2 linked regions of the Tamandua tetradactyla genome follow. The protein of the gene in region 2 binds, or shares a complex with, the protein of the main gene of each other region. Links are inferred from orthologs where the notes say so. Each region holds a gene or a part of one and is shown on either strand. Other genes may lie near its edges.

Evidence for each region.
Region 1: SMARCA2 (region 2) and DPF3 share a complex: the UniProt entries of both Homo sapiens proteins name them as parts of the BAF complex. The link is inferred for Tamandua tetradactyla from reciprocal best matches to the Homo sapiens genes SMARCA2 and DPF3.

The regions. Positions count from the first base shown.
Region 1 is NC_135338.1:31,488,927-31,498,410, forward strand, and holds the start of DPF3 (zinc finger protein DPF3), read right to left. Parts: upstream 3,766-9,484; 5' UTR 3,735-3,765; coding exon 3,703-3,734; intron 1-3,702. UniProt on the Homo sapiens protein: Belongs to the neuron-specific chromatin remodeling complex (nBAF complex).
Region 2 is NC_135328.1:96,171,799-96,180,879, forward strand, and holds the start of SMARCA2 (SWI/SNF-related matrix-associated actin-dependent regulator of chromatin subfamily A member 2), read right to left. Parts: upstream 3,625-9,081; 5' UTR 3,450-3,624; intron 2,964-3,449; exon of another isoform or gene 2,730-2,963; intron 1,454-2,729; exon of another isoform or gene 1,080-1,453; intron 1-1,079. UniProt on the Homo sapiens protein: ATPase involved in transcriptional activation and repression of select genes by chromatin remodeling (alteration of DNA-nucleosome topology).

The sequences.
Region 1 (9,484 bases), on a different chromosome or scaffold from region 2:
CATATGTGCATAATCAAGTCTGGCAGAAGGTGGCAGACATTCCCAGTTAAGTACATATAAACCAGGCTTTTGATAACTTAATAAAAGAGTAAGTTGTTTAAAGTGCTAATAGCAGATTGGGGGGGGGGGTGATTTACCTGAACTAGATAGGAATTAAGATTAGAATTTAGATTAAAAGCATGAAGGTTCCTAGGTGCGCAGACCCCAGCCAGAATACAATCCACACAGCCCTTTATCAAATCCCTGCTTATGATGCCTACATATATTCACTTTACTACCTGGCCTTCATCTTGCCTGCATACGTAAGAAATGAGGGTGATTCTCACACATCTAGGCTCAGACAATGTAGCTGCTAAATTAAATAATGTGTAACATACATTTACACATCATACATGCCCATATAAATGCTTTTAAATTCTATTTGTCCAGATGTGGCTGCTTGGTTGTGGAGCCACCTGCCGCAGCCAACCCCTTTGTGATCTGATCAGTCCAACCGGCTCCTGTTTCTGCCTCTAACACCCTGTTGGGCAGTAATAAGAGTTAAAGCAACAACAGAGAGAGAAGCCAGGCTGTCAGCTTCTGAGAGGAAGGGGGTGAGGAGGGTACACCAAGGGGCAATAAGAAAGGAAGTAGAGGGGAGATCAAAGACCAGCAGGAAGAAAAGCCAGGCTGCTAAGGAAGATGTGGTGTCAGGAACTGGGACCCTAAGGAAGACCCCAAAGCAATGAGACTGAAATTGTGCCATCCAGTTACCCAGGCTATTGAATTATTGAATGTCCCACATGGATAAAGCTAATGTAGTGAAAAATGGCCCATGCTTAGGGTAAGCAGAGCCCTACAGAGGGGTTGCACGAGACCTGAGCCTGCTTCTTCGCAGCACAGTTACCTCCTACCTCGCTATTCCCCAGTACCCGAAACCTTTGTGTGACCAGTTTCTATAGGGGGCATCGATGGTGGTGGCTTTTTTTCTTTTAAGAAAAGGGAGAAAAGACTCAGAATGCACACAGAGAAAATGCTAATGTCGTTCAGCTCCGTTTCATTGTCAGGAGGGACACAGGAGGATAAAAACAGAGCTCTCCAAACCGTTCTCCCGGCTTCCCCCTCCTCCCAGCACCGCCATCCGTCCCCTTCCCTGGATGTGTCTCCGCGCTTTGTTCTAATTTATCCCATGCATAATTTATTCATGTGTGTATTGTTTCCTGATCGGCAACTTTTAAAAGACAAATGAAATATATAAAATGTGTTATTAAACAAGTCGTTTTAAAAAATAAAGGCAGATGGTGTCGGTCTCCCCATAACACCGTGCGTGCTCCAGCGTGAGTAGTTTAAAAATAGTCGAGGGCGCGGGGGTATTGTTTACACCCCCTCACCCCCAGGGAAAGGGGTTGGGATGCAAAAAGGGGCGGTTAACTATAAATGACCACTCAACTTTCACCTGGAAAAAGCAGGCAAGGTGTTGTGTGTAAGTCAGTGGGGGGGGGGGGGGGGAAGCAGAATTACAAGTACATGACACTGCAACTGTTTCTAATTATATAAAGTGCAAGCATAATTCAGAACAAATTCCACTAAGCAGTCGGGATTTAGCCTCCTTTTCCCGCCTCTCTGTCTCTTCCCCTACCCTTAACTCCACCCCTACACAGACACCCTACCCAAACCAAACATGCATCCTCCTATGGTTAAAAAAAAAAATACTGGAGCGAGCAAGGGAACCCTGGAGCCGGAAGACGTTGCACCAGCGCATAAACTGGCTCCTGGAAAACGAGGGTACAGCTTTCCCTATAGAAAACAAACCCGGCGCACATGCGAAATAGATTTCTCTAACTTGAGTTTATCAGATGGCATCAGCCCAGATACGCGATTTCGGCTGAAAATGGGGAAACTGCAAATCGGCTCTGGATTCGATAGAAACTCACAGCATCGGCTGTGCAGCAGCGCGAGCGACTGCAAACGAGGATGCGGAGAAGTTACGCCCATTTATTCTGCCATAAAACATTTTCTTTCTTGGGTGAAACGCCGTGGCGTTCAAGTGTTGTGTATCCGAGCTTCCCACGGAGAGCTGAAAGCCGGGGACTCCTCTCGGATCAGCCTTAGCTTCCAATGCCCCTCCCCCGCCTCCCCAACCCGACCTTTAATTATATATATGTTTAAAACTCCGAAAACTGGGACATTCCTATCCTTTTCCCTTATTGCTGGTGAGAAGTTAACCAGTGCAAATACGGCCGATTCTCCCAGCGCGTTCCTTCGCGTTCGAGAGCTGTCTACTGCCTCCGGGTGCGAACCTGGTTTTAAACTCCCGGAGGAGCCCGGGAGGCGGACGCGGACGCGCGCGGGTGAAAGAACCAGGATCTGTTTAGGCAACGCACAAGGGACACGAAACTCCCCTCCGCCCGGACATCCCCTCCCCTAGCCCGAGGCTTCCATCCCAGCAGGGAAGTCCTGGTGGAATGGGCACCGATCCCGAGCCCACGTCGCGCCGCGAATCCGGAGGGAGCCTCCCCCCCCCCCCTCTGCCAACAGCACAGCCAACATCATCCCCCTTAGAGCGATGCTAGTTTTCTGAGCCCACCCCCGGCTCCGCGATAGCAAGCGGACTTGGCGGCTTAACAGTTCCACCGACTGAAAGGAAGGAAGGAAGCCAGGATGAAAAGAAGGAGGAAGGCAGGCAGGCAGGAATTGGCTGTCGAACCCGGGGACTGGCCCCCGCATGTCCTTGCTCAGCCCGCCCCCCCACCCCCACCCCGCCGCCCCCCGCTTCGTCCCGGATCTGGGCGTCCGCTCAAAGTCTCCCGGCGGCGGCCAGAGGCACCTGCCCCTTGCTCTGGCCGGGAGCAGACACTGCCGCTCAGGCCGGGGGCCCCAAGCCGCCTCTCCGCACGCCTCGGCATTTCACCCAGGGGAAGCAAGAACACCATTCATAAGACCTGCAGCTTCGCTGCCTCCAAATCAACCCCAAGTTAACCCGAGTCATTAATTTACTACGGCCAGTTCGCCCGCAAACACACACGCATACATGCACACCGGCTACCGCCCGGAGCGCCGTCATGCTCCGAGGGCTGCCCCGGCAGGAAAGCCCGGGGCAGCCACCTGGGCCCGAGGGCTCCCGGGACCCGCTGCTCCCCCCCCGCGGTCCTTCCAACTCCGGAAGGTTTGCCCAAACTCCCCGCGAGCGATCGGAAGGCGAAGAGCGCCCTGCAAACTCCTGAGCCACCGCGATCCGCTTGCCGCGCGGACCAAGCCACCCGGCGGAGACTGCGGGCTCTGAGGCGCGGGACTCAGCCGAATATACCCAGGCGGCCCCTGCCCGGCACTAGCCCCCAGCTCGACCGCTCCCCGAGCGGCGCTCGCCACCCGGCGAGCCCAGGGGCTCCGGAGACCGCGCTGTCCCCAAGCTGCCCGCAATCCCCCTAGCTGTGGAGCGCTCGGGCGCCAGGCTACCCTGCCGATAACCCTTCTCTCTCTCCGTCCACCAATTAAGCAGAACCCAAATGTAACAATTTTCTTCTTGTTAATTGCATCTCCTGACATTTCTGTGCGTTGGGGGAAAAGAAAAAGATGAAGTAGGAGCTGAAAGAAAAGAGAGAAGCCCCGCGGTGACTGGAGGCGCCTGCAAGCGCAGTGCTTTGGCAGCGCTCAGCACGGAGAAGGCGCCTTTTTTTCATATTGAAACCACGCGGAATATGTACATTTTTTAGCCTTACTTACGCTTTCAGGGGGTTGTGAATGACAGTCGCCATTTTGCTACAATGTAACAGAATATTGTCTGTCTCAGAGTTCTAAAGGTTCGCTCAGGGGAAGCGGCGAGCCAATCAGAACACGGGATACCGGCCCGCCGGCCAATCGGCGCGGCTGGTCGCCAGGTGGGCAGGGCCTGCGCGATGGTAGTTATTAGGGGAGCTGTCAAAGCCCAGAGGTCACTCCCTTTTGTAGAGCCCAAGAGCGAGCAGGTCTTAAAGGGGCAGTACCGCGCGAGCAGCTCCTTTTCGGTTTGGGGAAATTGGAGACGCACGGGACGAGTATTCTAGTTTGGTCTGAGACCCTACTTTTCTAAATAGCTGCAAAATTTGCGATCTTGAACAGAAATATTTAAGTATCGCCAGCAAACCACTGAACCCCATTCATTATCTTTCGGCTTTGCTAATAGTGTTTTTACTCTCCCAAAGAGCAAGTCCTCTTGTTCCCGTGCAAAAGTTGAAAGCTTGCTGTTTCGTCAAACAATGTACTAAACGTAGCCGTTTGCTAATGCTCTGGGTCCTACGACTTTTTAATATTCTTACTCCCGAAGTGTTTTCTTTATCTCGGCCACCTTCCTCTCCCCTGTAACTGCCGCCGCACTGCCGCCGCTGTTCCTGACGACTGCAGGACAGCAACTCCCCTCCCCCTGAATGTCTCAATGTCAAGTTCGCTCTCTACAGCAGCCCGGGCTTTCGTTACGTAATGCAGGGTGGTCACACTGAGCGATTCCCCAATACCACCCCTTCTGTTCACCCCACACTCCCGAAACTTCGGAAATGATCGCGGATCCCGCCAACTGGAGAGCTAAGCTCTCTGACCTTTAGGCTTAGGGATAAGGGAGGTTTAGGGAAACCAGTGGAAGCGCCTTCTGTTACTAGGAAAGCGAATAACTTGAAGACAGGAGTTATGGAGCCTAGAATGGGTGTTGCTAGAGTCCCTTTCGGGGAGTGGCACACGCGATTCTGGCGTCATCTTTCACTATTTAGGTAGAAGCTGAAAAGAATTTGCTAATGAATAATCCGGTGTGACCCGAGGCGTTCCGAGAGACCTTCTGCTTCAAGTTAGTGTGAATTCCCTCACTGGCGAACCCCTGACAAAACTGGGAGACTTCTGCGAAATCAGGCTTCCACTGGGCAGCCGGGAAGCTCCGGGTGGATGAAATCGTACTGTCGAGAATAGGGCAGGCAGGGCCCTCGTTAGCATAGAGAAGTCTGGCTGTTTAATCAGGTCAAATAGCTAAGATAGTGGGGGAGGGGTGAGAAGGGGAGAATGGAGATGCCAGATTGCCCTCTCAAAGCTTTGCCCTCTCACTTCCTTTCTCAGCGCTCCTCTCAAGGCAATGAATTTTTTTTAAAAGAAAAAAAAAGTTCCAAAACTTCAGAGTTCAACTCCCTACACCACTAGAGTTACAGATAAACAGAACATGGCTGAATCAGTATGTTTGTAATAGACTTGAAATTTTTAACTCCTCTCTTTCTGATTAGTTAATAGCAGAGCCAGGTTCTATGGATTGCCTTTGTGACTTTTTTGACAGCACCTTGCCAGAGATGGCAGTTTGAAAAACGTTGTCCCCTTTTCAATAATTGAAGTTTGAAAACACCCTTCCTCATTAATTCAAACATATTAAGGGCTTAGTTCCAAAGCTTATCTTTGCCTGAGATGGACCCTGATATCACTGAGAAGCAACTATTATGTTCAGATGAAGAAGTTCAGGCTTCTCAGATGAGGTTGAAGTATTAGTCATAATTCCCACGAGTTCGAATTGAAGGACAACATATTTTAATATATGCAGCTTTATAAAAGAAGTAAGAAATATAGTATTGCACCTGCCCTGAACAATGCTTACAATTTAATGGGAGAAGAGAAGAAAAACAAAGTATTACATCTAAAAGAAAAAATATATACTCAAAGCATATACATATAGTTTACTGTGTTAAGGCCTTGGCATAATTCCTAATATCTGGCACATATGAAAGTGGCAGCCCATGATTTTTCAAACTTTTTCTTTGCCTTCATTTTGAGAGAGTTTTCATCTGGAATTGAAACATCTAAGTTACATTTTATAATGTGAAAATCGAAAAAATAATGAAATAAAACTATGTTTTTTTAAGTAGGTTAATCTTGGGTTTTTTTTGTAACCCAGTAGAAAGCATTTTAATTCAGACACTGCAGGTACAACTTCTAAATAAACAGAATTGTGAATTTGCCTTTTGTCAGTTCTCAGCTATATAAGTTATTATTATTTTCAACTTTATCTTCTTTATCATAGATCACAATGTTTCTACAGTAAAGCAGGTCCCATTCTGCCAATTTGCAATGGTATGGCATGAAGCCAAATGCTCCAAATATGTCTTAAATATACCAACCCACCAAAAAGACACATGTTTTTCACCAGAATGCTTAAAAGCAAGAGGGCTTAGAATGGACATGCCTAAAGGTGATAGGAGCCTAGTAGAATTTCAGAGAATGTTTAGTTTTGTGAGGCAGTGTTGTATATGTTAACGGAGTGTGGGCTCTGAAATCTGTTTTCCTGAGTCCTTCACTTTCCAGCTGCATTATCTTGGGCCAGTTTACTTAGCTACTCTATGGTGTCAGTGTCCTCATCCGAAAAGTGGCAATAATAATAATAGAATTTTCATACGGCTCTTGCCAGGATTGAATAATATATGTCAAGTGTCTGGCACATAGCAAGATCTCGAAAAATGGTGACCATTATTTTTACAGATACTTAATTCTTTCCTGATGGTATAAGGTACATAGTTAAACTTTATTTAACTTATTGCTCTGAGAAAAATGGCAACTGAATAACTTTGAGGAAAAAATAATAAACAGGAATTTTTCGATCAGGGGTCATTTCACTACTTAAACCATGTCCTCTTGCTCAGTAGACTTTCAAGACACTTTTAAAATCACATTTCTAAAGCTCTATAGATATTCATATACTTGAATATACTCCACCCAGCCCCATTTCTTCCATCTTTATATAGCTGCCTAGGCAGCCTAATTTGCTAGGCAGAGTGGGTCCAAAATAACCTCTTCCCCATCCCACCTGAGAGTCTAGAGCTGCACTGTCCAATATGGTAGCCAGAGACTACCTGTGGCTATTGAGCACTTGAAATGTGGCAAGTACAAATTGAGATGTCATAAGTATAAAATACACACTGGATTTCATAAGGCTTTGTATGATAAAAAGGAATGTCACATATCTCATAAATCATTTTTTATACTGATTACATGTGGAAATGATATTTTGGATATATTAGGTAAATAAATACATTATTGAAGCTAATATTCCCTATTTCTTTTTACTTCTTTTAATGTGACTACTAGAAAATTTAAAATTGCACGTGTGGCTCCCATTGTATTTCTATGGACAGTGCTGCTCAAGGCTGTGTGTTACCAGGGAAGTAAGCGTGGGGCCTATCTCAGTCATATGCATTCATTCTGCATAATCTTTTCAAATCTAACCTTATCAATTAGCAGACTCTCTGGTCCAGCTCAGGTACATGTTCAATGCCACCCATCCAAAGGAACATTTGGGGTACAACAAGGACCCATGCACCCAAACCACAAGGGGCACCCATACCTGTTCACTCCTAAAAAGTCTGAAGTTTGTCTCAGCAATGAGGAGATGTCCGTCTAGAAGTAGGGAAGAATGGCACTTTTGTAGCAGGTGCCAAACTTTCCAGCTGACTTTTTAAAGGCACATCCATATACGAGAGGGAAGTAAAGAAAGGAGATGCAAACTTCAAGAACAGCCAGAGTTCATTTAAAAGAGGAAGCATACCACAGAAGCCGTCCAAAATAAATGCAGTCCCTGGTGGGCTCTGGGGCTTGAAGGAGTCTCGGGTCTTGCGGGCATTAGAACAAGAGCAATCCCTCCATTTATCTGCAGACTAACCAGCCATGCCCAGGGCAGCTGGTTGACCTGGGCTGGTTCCCTGAGATCCAGAACCAGCTTTGGTACATTCTAGGCACTGAGCTGAAGAGGAATTCTTTTGAAGAATAGAGGGCATAAAAACTGCAGCCTATAAAAAAGCTAACCATACCACATGACCTGCAATACCTCTCCTAAGTATACTCAAAATAATTGAAAGCAGGGAATCACATGGATACGTGTAAACCAATATTCATGACAGCATTATTTACAATAGCAGAAAGGTGGAAACAACCCAAGTGTTCACCATCCGATGCATGGATAAACTGCAGCAGAATATATATATGAATATTATTCAGCCATAAAAAGGAAAGAAGCGCTGATACATGCTATAATATGGATGAACCTTGAACACATTATGCCAAGTGAAAAAAGCCAGACACAAAAGGATAACTTATATGGCTTCATTTATACAGAATAGCAAATTCATAGATACAGAAAGTGGATCAGAGGTTATCAGGGGCTTGGGTGAGAGGGGAATGGGGAATTATTGCCTAATAGGTAAAGAGTTCCTATTTGGAGTGATGAAAAATTTTGGTAATGGATGATGGTGATGGTAGCACAATGTAAATACAATTAATGCCATTGAATTATACACTTAAAATGGTTAAAATGGCAATTTATATATCATATATGCATATATAACCACAATAACTTTCTTTAAGTTAAAAAAAGAAAAACATAACCTGGCTTTCTCTTTTCTTAGGGAAAATGGTAGGGAAGGATTCTTACTCCCTTTACAATTTCTCAAAGCGTAGAAAAGAAAAAGCATATCAAGCTCTGGATTTGGGTGATGCTCCTAGGGCCAGGCCTCGAAAATCACATATTTCTGAGTAGAGTCATAAAAAGGAATCAATGCTTGCTGCTTCCCACTAACTTAGCTCATTCAGTCACTCATCCATTGAGGAATTTCTATGAGGGAGACATTGTGCTAGGCACAGGTGGCAAAATAAAAACAAACCAGACATGAAAACAACCCTCAAAAAGATCTCATCCTGCATCTGGAGGGAGAATAACGATGGCAGGCCCGCCCCATGAGCCAGCAGAGCAATTACTTAATGTGACTTAAAAGGGAAGAGCAGCCTGCTCAGCCAGTCCCCTTTTCCTGGCAGGGATCATGGGATCCCAATGGATGCGTCCTTGGGTGTTTATTAAATGACTACTATGGACACCATCAAAGGTTCATTCCTTTGGGTTCCCAAGGTTTCAAGACATTGAGATTTTCATAAACTAGTATAAAGGATATATTAGGGAATATACTAGGGTATACGAGTCAAAGGTCCTCAGTAAGGCTTTATGGAGAAGGTCATGTTTAATTTGGGCCAAAGTTGGGTAGATTTTAAAAATGAGTCAAGGGCTTAAGGGCCTTTAGACCTCCCACCCATCTCCGCCAACAGCTAATTCATATAGAAAATATTTGGAGAATCTCTACTCTGTGCCACCATGCCACCCTCACTCCTGGACCTTGGGGGTACAGAGAGACCTAAGATAGACCAACCTATAAAGGTTATAAAAGCTCTTATTCAAAAAGTCAGGGAGGAGGGAGCAGGCAGTTGCATCCCAAAGCCATGGGTGGAGGAGCACAGGGCACTGTGGTGTGGACCAGGGGCACCTAAACTGACCAGGTTATCTTTTCAGAAGAAGCGACTTCTGAGCTCAATCCTGAATGGTTCATAGGAGGAAAAGATGTCCCTGCAGAGGTGGTAGAATATATAAAGATTTTGGGGGTGTGAGAAAGGGCAGCACAACTTCAGGGGATCTCCTTGGTAGAGGGGGACTGGTGAGACAGAAAAAGCTGGAGAGGCAAGGACGGGG
Region 2 (9,081 bases):
GGGTAGTGCTGCCGTCAGCAGCCCCCTACCGCTCCCAAACAACTGTTGGGAAAAAAAAATCTGAAAATATTTGAATATGTATATACAGTATATACACACATATAACATTGGACATGGCTTTTATTTTGATAGAGCTGTCAGGAGTTTCTGAGTCTTAGATGGTTGGTGAAAATTTGTCTTCTACTCAAGAAGCAGCCAACAATACTGTCCACTCAAGCAGAGCACACAAACAGACATAAAAAAAAAAAAAAGTCCTTTGAAATGTCATTTTAAAAGTTAACTCAGCTATCGGTAACACATAGACGTAAAAAGCGACTCAATGCAGTAAACAAGCAAACGTGGATTTTTAATGTCTTCCTTACGCTCTAACATTACACAGTTGGTGAGTATTTAGGAATACGTGTCTCCATAATGACCAGAAGACAATGATGACACCGCTTCAAAAAATACTAATTCGGGCCGCTTGCTTTTTTTCAAAAGCACTAACCTTCACCAAGCTAGGGAAGGAGAAAAAAAGACGACAACCGTACAAAACTCTCCCAAAAGTTATATAAACAAAGGAGGGGAGAAGCCCAGTATGGGCTTTGCACCCATGTGCTACAAAAATTACATAACACACGGTGCAGATATTAAATAAGGAATGGATTCTGCACAACACCCCCACTCCCTCGACTCCCTTCTTCCCTTAAAAAAATCCAAACGCCTGACCAGACCAAATGGACGACTTTGAATATTTATCTTATTGCTGGAGCAAATCCTGCGAGAGTCGGAGGCACATTTAGGCCCGAAGTTTGAAGGTGGAACAGCCCCAGGGCGCAGCGACTCACACTCTCCGGACCTGAAGGAGAAAGGTCTGACAAGCGACAGCAGCCAGCAAGGCCTTCTTTTTCCTCCTCCACGGTGCCTCCCGCTGTAAAGTTTTCCACGCAATCGATGGGAGGACAAGGAGCCAGTTCCCCCCGCCTGCCTGACTTTGCAGGCAGGAAAGGCGAGCGGGGAGATCAGAGGGGGCCGGCAGGGAAAGAGCTGGAAAGCTCCGCACAACGCGGGCGGTGGCAGTGGCGGCGCAGGCTGCTTACCTGGGGGACTCGGAACAAAAAGCGGCGCTGGGACTCCGAGAGCCTGCGGGGTCGGCGCGGTCCACCGCCCGGAGCGTGGTTCTTCCCCAGAGCTCTAGGCCCGCGCCGGAGCCCGGGGCCCGGCCCCCGCCGCCGCTTCCTTCCTCGCGCGCGTCATGTCACGGCGATCAAACATGTCTGTGTGCGCTTCGCTGCTGTGACTTCCTGATTCTCTGCCGCTCGCGCGCGCACACACACACTCACATTCACACGAGCACGTCACCCCCAGCAGCTCCCGCCGCCAAACCTCGTCTTTCCCTCCCTGAGCTCCTCGGGAGGGCGCGGGCGGGAGCGGCTGCCCGCGCGGCGACTCCAGACGCACTCGCCCCGACGCGCACAACGCACACTCACACTCACGCGCAGGCACCCTCGCCCCGGCCCCGAGGGCGCCGAGACGCAAGCTGCTGGCGCTCGCCGCCCCCTCCCATCCCTCCACCGTAGTTAGCCTCCCTGCCAAACTTTTTTTTTTTTCCTGCCTGATCCACGTCCAACTTCTCTCCACCCCCAACCCCCAAGCAGCCCGGCAAGCCTGGCGCTCACCACCATACGCCGCAAACGGCGACCGTATAAAAATAATAGCAATCGGGCGGCGGAGGCGGGGGCAAGCGCGCAGACACTGGCAGCAGGCGGTTTCCCCGCGTGTACCGGAAACCGGCGCGAGTGCCCAGGCCAGCGCGCTGGGTGTCCCGGAGCCCGCACTGCTGTGCCCCGCCCCACAAGGTGCAACTGCGCCCAGGCTGTGAGGCCTGTGCAGGGTACCAGGGCACCGGGCTCGGCGTGTGCTCTGCGGTCGGTGGGCGCCCGGGGACTGGCGCGCCGGACCGGTTATTTGGGGAAGTGCATCGCGACACCTTTGCAGATGGCATGGCAGCATTTGCAACGCAAACGGGAGGAGGGAAGGCGGGCGGGTGAAGGGGGGTTGGAAGAGCTGAGTAAGGGGTAAACCAGGTTGGGATGGGAATAAAGCAAACTCGAAAGCATGGAGCGAGAAGGAAGGGGTCCGTGTCATCGTTGGGAGGAAGCTCCCACCCCATCTCCCAGCCTCCCTCCCTCGCTACCCCCTATCCTCCCCCTCAGCCCTTTCCCTTTTAGCCGGCGAACGCCACCACCGCTGCCCGGGTGCGTGAGAGTTCTGTTTGTGACAGTCAGGCAGAGAGGATTATCCGGATCATGGCCTCCTCGGCCCGCAGCCGCCTTGGCTCTCCTGGGCCCCAGCGAGCCCCTAGCACCCGAACGATCACCGGCGACCCACGCCCGCTGCTCCCCAAGCCCTAGCCAAGGGAAAGAAGCGAAGCAAAAGAAAACAAACCCGGGGAGGGGGAGGGTAGTGTAACTGAACCTGGCTGGCACCTCCGACCTCCTTCTTCGGGGCCTCCTCTCTCCCTCCCAGCGATGCTGCCGGGGCCGGACACCCCGAACTTCAACACCCGAGCCTGCACGGCCGCCAGGTACCAGGAGCAGGGATGCCCGCAGCGCCCGGGGCGTACCCCCCGCCCTCCCCCCGCCCCGTAGCCGCTTTGCCCAAAGGCCTTGCTGTCTATCTGCCAGCGGCCCCGTCCCCGCCGGAGGGAACGCGGAAAGTGCAGGTGACACCTCGGATCCGGCGCTCACCAGCCCGGCGGCTTGTAGCTGCCGCTTTCTCCGCGCGTCAGCTTCGGCTTCTCCCGCCGCAATCCACTCGCGTCTCCGCAGTCGGAGCCCTTTAAACAAATCCCCCGGAGCGGTGGCAGCCGCGTCCGCTGGCGCCCCGCCGCCTGCCCGGACTCTTCGTCCTCCTCTCCCGCTCCCCTTCCAACTCTTCCGGGGAGGATTGCTCGGGATGAACTGTCGCGTTTCCATTCTCCTCCACCTCCCCCCAAGCCTCCCCCCCCCCCCCCCGGCTTTTAAGGGGATGGGGCGGATTACAACCTTGCCGAGTGTGTGTGTGTTGCAACCTTAAGTTGGCAGCGCATTGCCGACTGCCTACACAGGGTCAAGGCTGTGGTTTGTTGGTTTTTCCTCCTGGCTCCCTCTAAGTAGTAATTATTATTATTATTATTAGAACAGCAAGGTTCAGTTGAAACTTTCCCGTTTCTTCCACACCCGCCCGGCAGCTGTCGTTAGAGCATTCCACCTGAGGCCCGCGGGGAGGAGGCGGGCTTTTTTGTTGTTGTGTCGGTTGGCCCGCCTGTTTGTTTTGGTCTCCGTGCATGCACAATAAATAATAATTAGGAGAATAATGAATAATCCCCAGCGAAGGCGGCGCAGTGCTGGAGGGGGTTTGCGCCGCGGCTCCAGCGGGCAGCCCCGAGGGAGGGGAAAGAGGAGAAAGGAGTTGTAAGTTATATTTACCTTGCTCGCGAGGAGTGTGCTAGCTGAATCTCTTCCCTCTCTGAGTCACCCAGAGTACAGAAACAGAGGGAGAGAGGACTAGATTATGAATATGACTTCATTGATGACAGCCATCCCCTCCTCTTCCTAAACTCGGGCTCCGCCCCGCGTCCCACCCTCGCCGCCTCCACGGGCGCCGGAAGACGCGCCGCAGTTGGCCCCGAGAGCCGCTCCTCCCTGCCCGGCCGGGCGCGGGTTGGTGGGACGCGCCTGTCACTCGCTCGGCTCGGCGACTCCGCGAGCGCGGGGGGAGGAGGGGGCGGTGTGCAAGAATGTAGACCGAGACAGCTCTACTGTACTGGATCCGTGTGTGGCTGCAAGGCGCCGGCTCTAGGGCTGTGTTTTTGCCTGGGGCGGATAAACTGCGCAGGACGCAGAAAGCCCCGAGCCCTGATGGAGTTGGGCGTCTGTTATTCCTGCCTTGGCAGTCCTCTTCCCCAGGCGCTGCGGGCCGCCTCCGGGGAGGCTGGAGGGGAGGAGGAGGCGAAGCGAAAGGGAGGGAAGCCGTAGTAATAGCGCGTAGTAGTTTGGGGGTATGTGGGGAAGGTGCTGGAATTTAACTGTCTCCGCCTGCCAGTGCGAGCCTGCGGAGAGAAAAGGAGGGGACAGGGAGAGGCTCTAAGTGGCACCAAAAGCTGTTGGTGGCACGGTGCTGACCGAGGGGGGAAAAAAGGGGGCATTATCGTGCCGGTTGAAACTTTTTCTTCTCCGTTCCCCACCCCGGGCTGTAATTACAAATCTGCTCCCTCCCCCCCCCCCCCCCATAGGGTAGCAGGCACAAAGAACATTCCTGCCAAATCAGTCTCTTCTCCAAAGGATTGCAAGCTTCCAAATGCCAGTGAGGGGAGAAACAGCTGAGAGGCTGAACGCCTTATAAATAAATAAGCCCGCTTTAACCCCTCTGTATATTCCGTGGAGTAGACATAGCACTGTAACCTTCCTCATCTGTCATTTTCGTGTAAAATATATACAAAAATATAGAAAAACAACCCGATGCGGGGGCGGGGCAAGCGAGCTCGGGGGCAGTTGAAGAACGGAATCTGCTTTTGATTTAAGAGGGGGAATAAATCTCTTTTTCTCTACAGCCCATCGTCTCTTCTCTCCCACTCCACATTTAAGACCAATTAAGGCTACAAATAGTAAACCTCGGGCACTTCACGGTTTTGAGATCTCTTGTTCTAATTTTCTTTGAAACATGGTACTTTGGTCGGACCAATAGGTCAGGGTTTGCTGAGACAATTTTATTTTTAGTTTTATGAAGTGTGAAAGAATGTTGGGAGATTTTAAATCAGGGGCCTATTATTTTAGACTCAGATTAATGTAGGTGCTTGACTCTTAAAATTAAAACTGTTCCTACACGGGAGTGTTATGAAAACTATGATTTATCCCTTATTTTGTAATGTAATGGCTTAAATTAGTCATTCCAAGTGCACTGTGACTTTGGTTGAGGATTTTTTCCCCTAGAGTAAAATCCTATCCTATCACCATTTTGCTATTGCAACATTGACTCTACTTGAGCAACCAGATCTGAAATGCAGTTCTAGGATGCTTGAAACTACAGGCTGAATAAATTGAAGACAAGAAGCCGTGGAAAGAACACCAAATACTCCATGTGGCATTATGTGGCAGGTATTGTTCACATGCCAGTCCATTGCTAGCTGAAGCCTGGTGTGCAAAGACACCGTTTTTGGAGTGGCTAGGAGTATCAATTATCCCCCATCCTGAGGTTTTCCAAGGCCTTGTTACTTGATTGTTAACTTTGTCCTCCTAATTTTCTGTCTAGCCCAAAGTGAACCTCAAGACAACAAAAGATAGCACACCTAAGTGAAATAGAGTATAGTATGCCCTGAAGAATCCGTTGTAAGAACTTGTTTTCCCTGCCTGAGGGCCAACATAACTATTAACTGAGAAATATACAGCAAGAAATCTTAAGCAAAAATTGTAGTAAAAGTATAATAAAAATACTAACTTCTAACTGTCTAATAAATTGCAACTAATCATATAGCCAGATAACTCAGTTGTCTATAAAAGGCTCTGTAAGATAATGACAATGTACATTACATTAGATAATATTAGGTTTAAATTTGTTTTTGCTTCCCTTGCATGCCAACCTCACATGCCAACTTGCAGAAATCGATGACTTCATCTTTATTCCCTCACGAATGAGTGTCCTTTATCCCACCTCCACCTGCCATGCCAAATTTCAAAGAGAACATCACCTTAGTAAGACACTGATGATGAGACTGGCCATTCCTTCTGGCATTTTGTCAAAGGGAAAGTAAAGAAGAAAGCATTCCCTTTGTATATGTGTGTATTCTTCAGCTCACATAAAATTTTGATGTAGTACTTGGGGCTACAGGAGAGGATGGTATCCATCTATTAGAGGCACAACTATGGGAATTTAAAAACAAGATCTTCATTGGGGGCACAGATTAAATATAGATTTTTCATCTCCTTTTCCCTCACATTAGTCTAAGAAAGCACCACCTTCTCCCTTCAGATCTTTCCTCTGAAGAATCATCTTGTTTATGGTTTGCATTACAGCAAATAAGAATTTTATAAAATAAGTCCTAAACTCAGGAGAAATGAAAGAGCACCATCATTCACTTGGTACAAAAAGAATGCAGAACACCTAGCATGAGCTTCATCTCTGAGGTAAGGCAAAATTTAACAATTGATGTTAAGGAGGAAAATGATGGGATTCTTTTGTTTTGCAGAAAATCACACAAAAGCAAATATGGTTGGAGGCTAAAAGGACTCCAGGAGGCTGCACAGGATGCTATATTCACATGAAGCTTTTCGTTTTGGACTTTGATGAGTCATAATGTGTTCTCAGAACTAGCTTTTCTCTTTCTAGTTTGGCATCAAGGGATGGAAGTCACTTTTTCATTTCTGTGTGGCCATATTCACTTGTTATGTAACTCTGCTTTAGTTCTGTAAAGAGTAAGATACTGGGTTTGAAAATTGATATCTAGTGACAAAATACTCATAAAGAAAAATTCCATGCACAAAGTTAGGGAGCTTCTAGTTTCAACAGACAAGCTGTTAATGTTTACTAAAATGTTGCCTAACTTCAAAGAAGAGCAGGTAAGACCATTTAGGGAATAGGTACTTCATCTACAATAATGGAAACTAAGCTTTGACAGACTGAATCAGCTGACATTTAATTTAATGAAGAGAATTTAGCATTAGCAAATAAATTTATTGGAGAAATGTATTTAGAATTAGCAAATAAATTTATTGTAGAAATAAACACTTCTCTCTCTCCTTTTTTCCCCTCAATCAATAATCCCAGTAGATCTTGTCTCCTCACAATCATTCCTCCAAAATACCACCTCAATTCTCTTTGTGATCATATCACTTTCTAGTTTGTCCTCGGTCCATTCTCAATCCATTATAGGATAAATTTCATACTTAGCGTGTTCTCCAAGGCTGTGCCTGGACAGGTCCCTACCAGCCTCATTGACCATCTCAAAATGCCTGAGCTCTGGGAAACCTGGTCTATCTTTTGGTTCCAAAGGAGACTTCCTTCCTCGTCCACATTCCCTCTGACTGAAATGCAGGTCCTCACCCCACATCCTCCAAGACTCAGCAATGGCCCAGCGTCCTTCCAGTGGCCCTCCTTCCCTTCCCCGGGCAGAGGAGACCCCTTGTCCTATTCTGCTTCCATAGCAACCAGTGTGTACCTCCATTATAGCACTTATCACTTTGATGCGATTATTTGTTTGGTATTCTCCACTAGATGGTTAGTGCCTGGAGGATGTAGAGCAAGTTCAATTCATCTTTGAAGCCCCAGCAATTAGCAGGGTGCCCAGCACATTGTATGCTGTTAAAAGAAAAAAAAAAGTTTGTTGAATGAAAGGATGAGACATATATTAAAATTATAGAGAATTCATAAGATCTTTGTTGTTAGCAATTATCATGTTAATGAACAAGATTACTAAGTGTTCAGAAGCTTTGTATTATTTTCTAAGCTGAAAAGGCTGACATGTTTTTGGGTTTTATTTTGTTTTGTTTAAGGGAGAGAAGGTGAGGAGAAGCTATAGCTCTTGCCATAACACGAAGAGTATTGAGAGGAGTTTGCTTGTTTGGGTTTTTGTTTTTTTTTTTAATTAGGCTAAGAATAACACAAATGAATACATGGTAATTGTGTAATAGACTAATAATAATTATGATAGTAACTCCCTTTTGTTTCTCCTTTAAATCGTATGCCAGAATTTGTAAAAGCCCTTTACATATGCCATTAAATCCTTTGAGATTTGTGATATTAAACCCATTTTACCGATGAGAAAACATTTTTTGAGATGACAGATAATTTGCCTAAGGCAGGTTCTCCTAAGTGGAGTGGGCAAGACAAATCAGTGGGAGGTGGGAAGAATGTTAGAAAGTCTGTTTCTTTTTCTTTCAATGATAAAAGAAATGTAGTGATGCAAAAATTTTTTAAATGAGCCTTATTAATGTTTATCACACTCATTCACTGTGGGGCCTTTACATGGTCCCTGAGTCAGCTGGCCATATACCCTGTATTGTACCTGACGAATGCAGAGGCCATGAGGCCAGGGCAGGAGTCCCCAACACAGAGGGCTGACAGTGGCGTCCCCTCTGGTTCTTTCACTTTCTGGGTATTGATATCACCTGAAGCTGATTCGATGGTAAATGGACTCACAAGGTAATATTTTCTAGTTTTAAACAAGCAACCCTCCTATTTAGGAAGCAAATGGCTTAAAAAGATTTCTACAGAGAAATCAAAGACTGAGAGACTGCCAGTAATGACAGCCCAGGTGAAAATCAGTGTCAGATCTGCGGCTTGAACTTCGAATAGCACATTGTCCACCATGTTGAGAAGTAAAAACAGGATCTGACAAGAGAAAGGTTAAAAACCATTCACAATTATCCAAAAGACTACATGAAATTTAGACATAAGCTATCATTAATGATGAATTCTGGCCTAAGAATATATTTTACCTGGAGATGTTAACCTTTGATGGTGCAACATCATCATGATCAGCAAGACGTTTAAAACTTTACTATCGTCTTCATCTCATTCCTTCATAGTTTTTGTGAAATGGAACATTTCACAGTGTTTCACAATTATGAAATGAAAACGTTTCATGAAATGTTTCATGAAACATTTCGTGTATGTTTTATAATGCATTTTATATGTTAATACTGTATACATATATTATGAATAAATATACATAAATCATGTTTTATGTGTCCTTTCTTTTCTATTATTAGAAAAGTTGTAAGTTTACAGAAAAATCATCCATAACATGCACAGTTCCCACGGTCCACCCTACTATTTACACCTTGCTTTCGTGTGGTACATTTGTTACAGTTCATGAAAGAGCATTTTTATAGTTGTTCTATTAACTATATTTGTTCATTTACAACAGGATTCACTGTTTGTGTTGCACAGTCCTATGTTCTTAACTAATTTTTACTCTAGTAACATGTGTGCAATTTAAAAATTTCCCCTCTAACCACATTCAAATATATAACTCAGTGCGGTTAATTACGGTCATAATTTTGTGCTACCATCGCCAGCATCCATTACCAAACTAAACTGGAAGGAGACCATGATCAAACAATT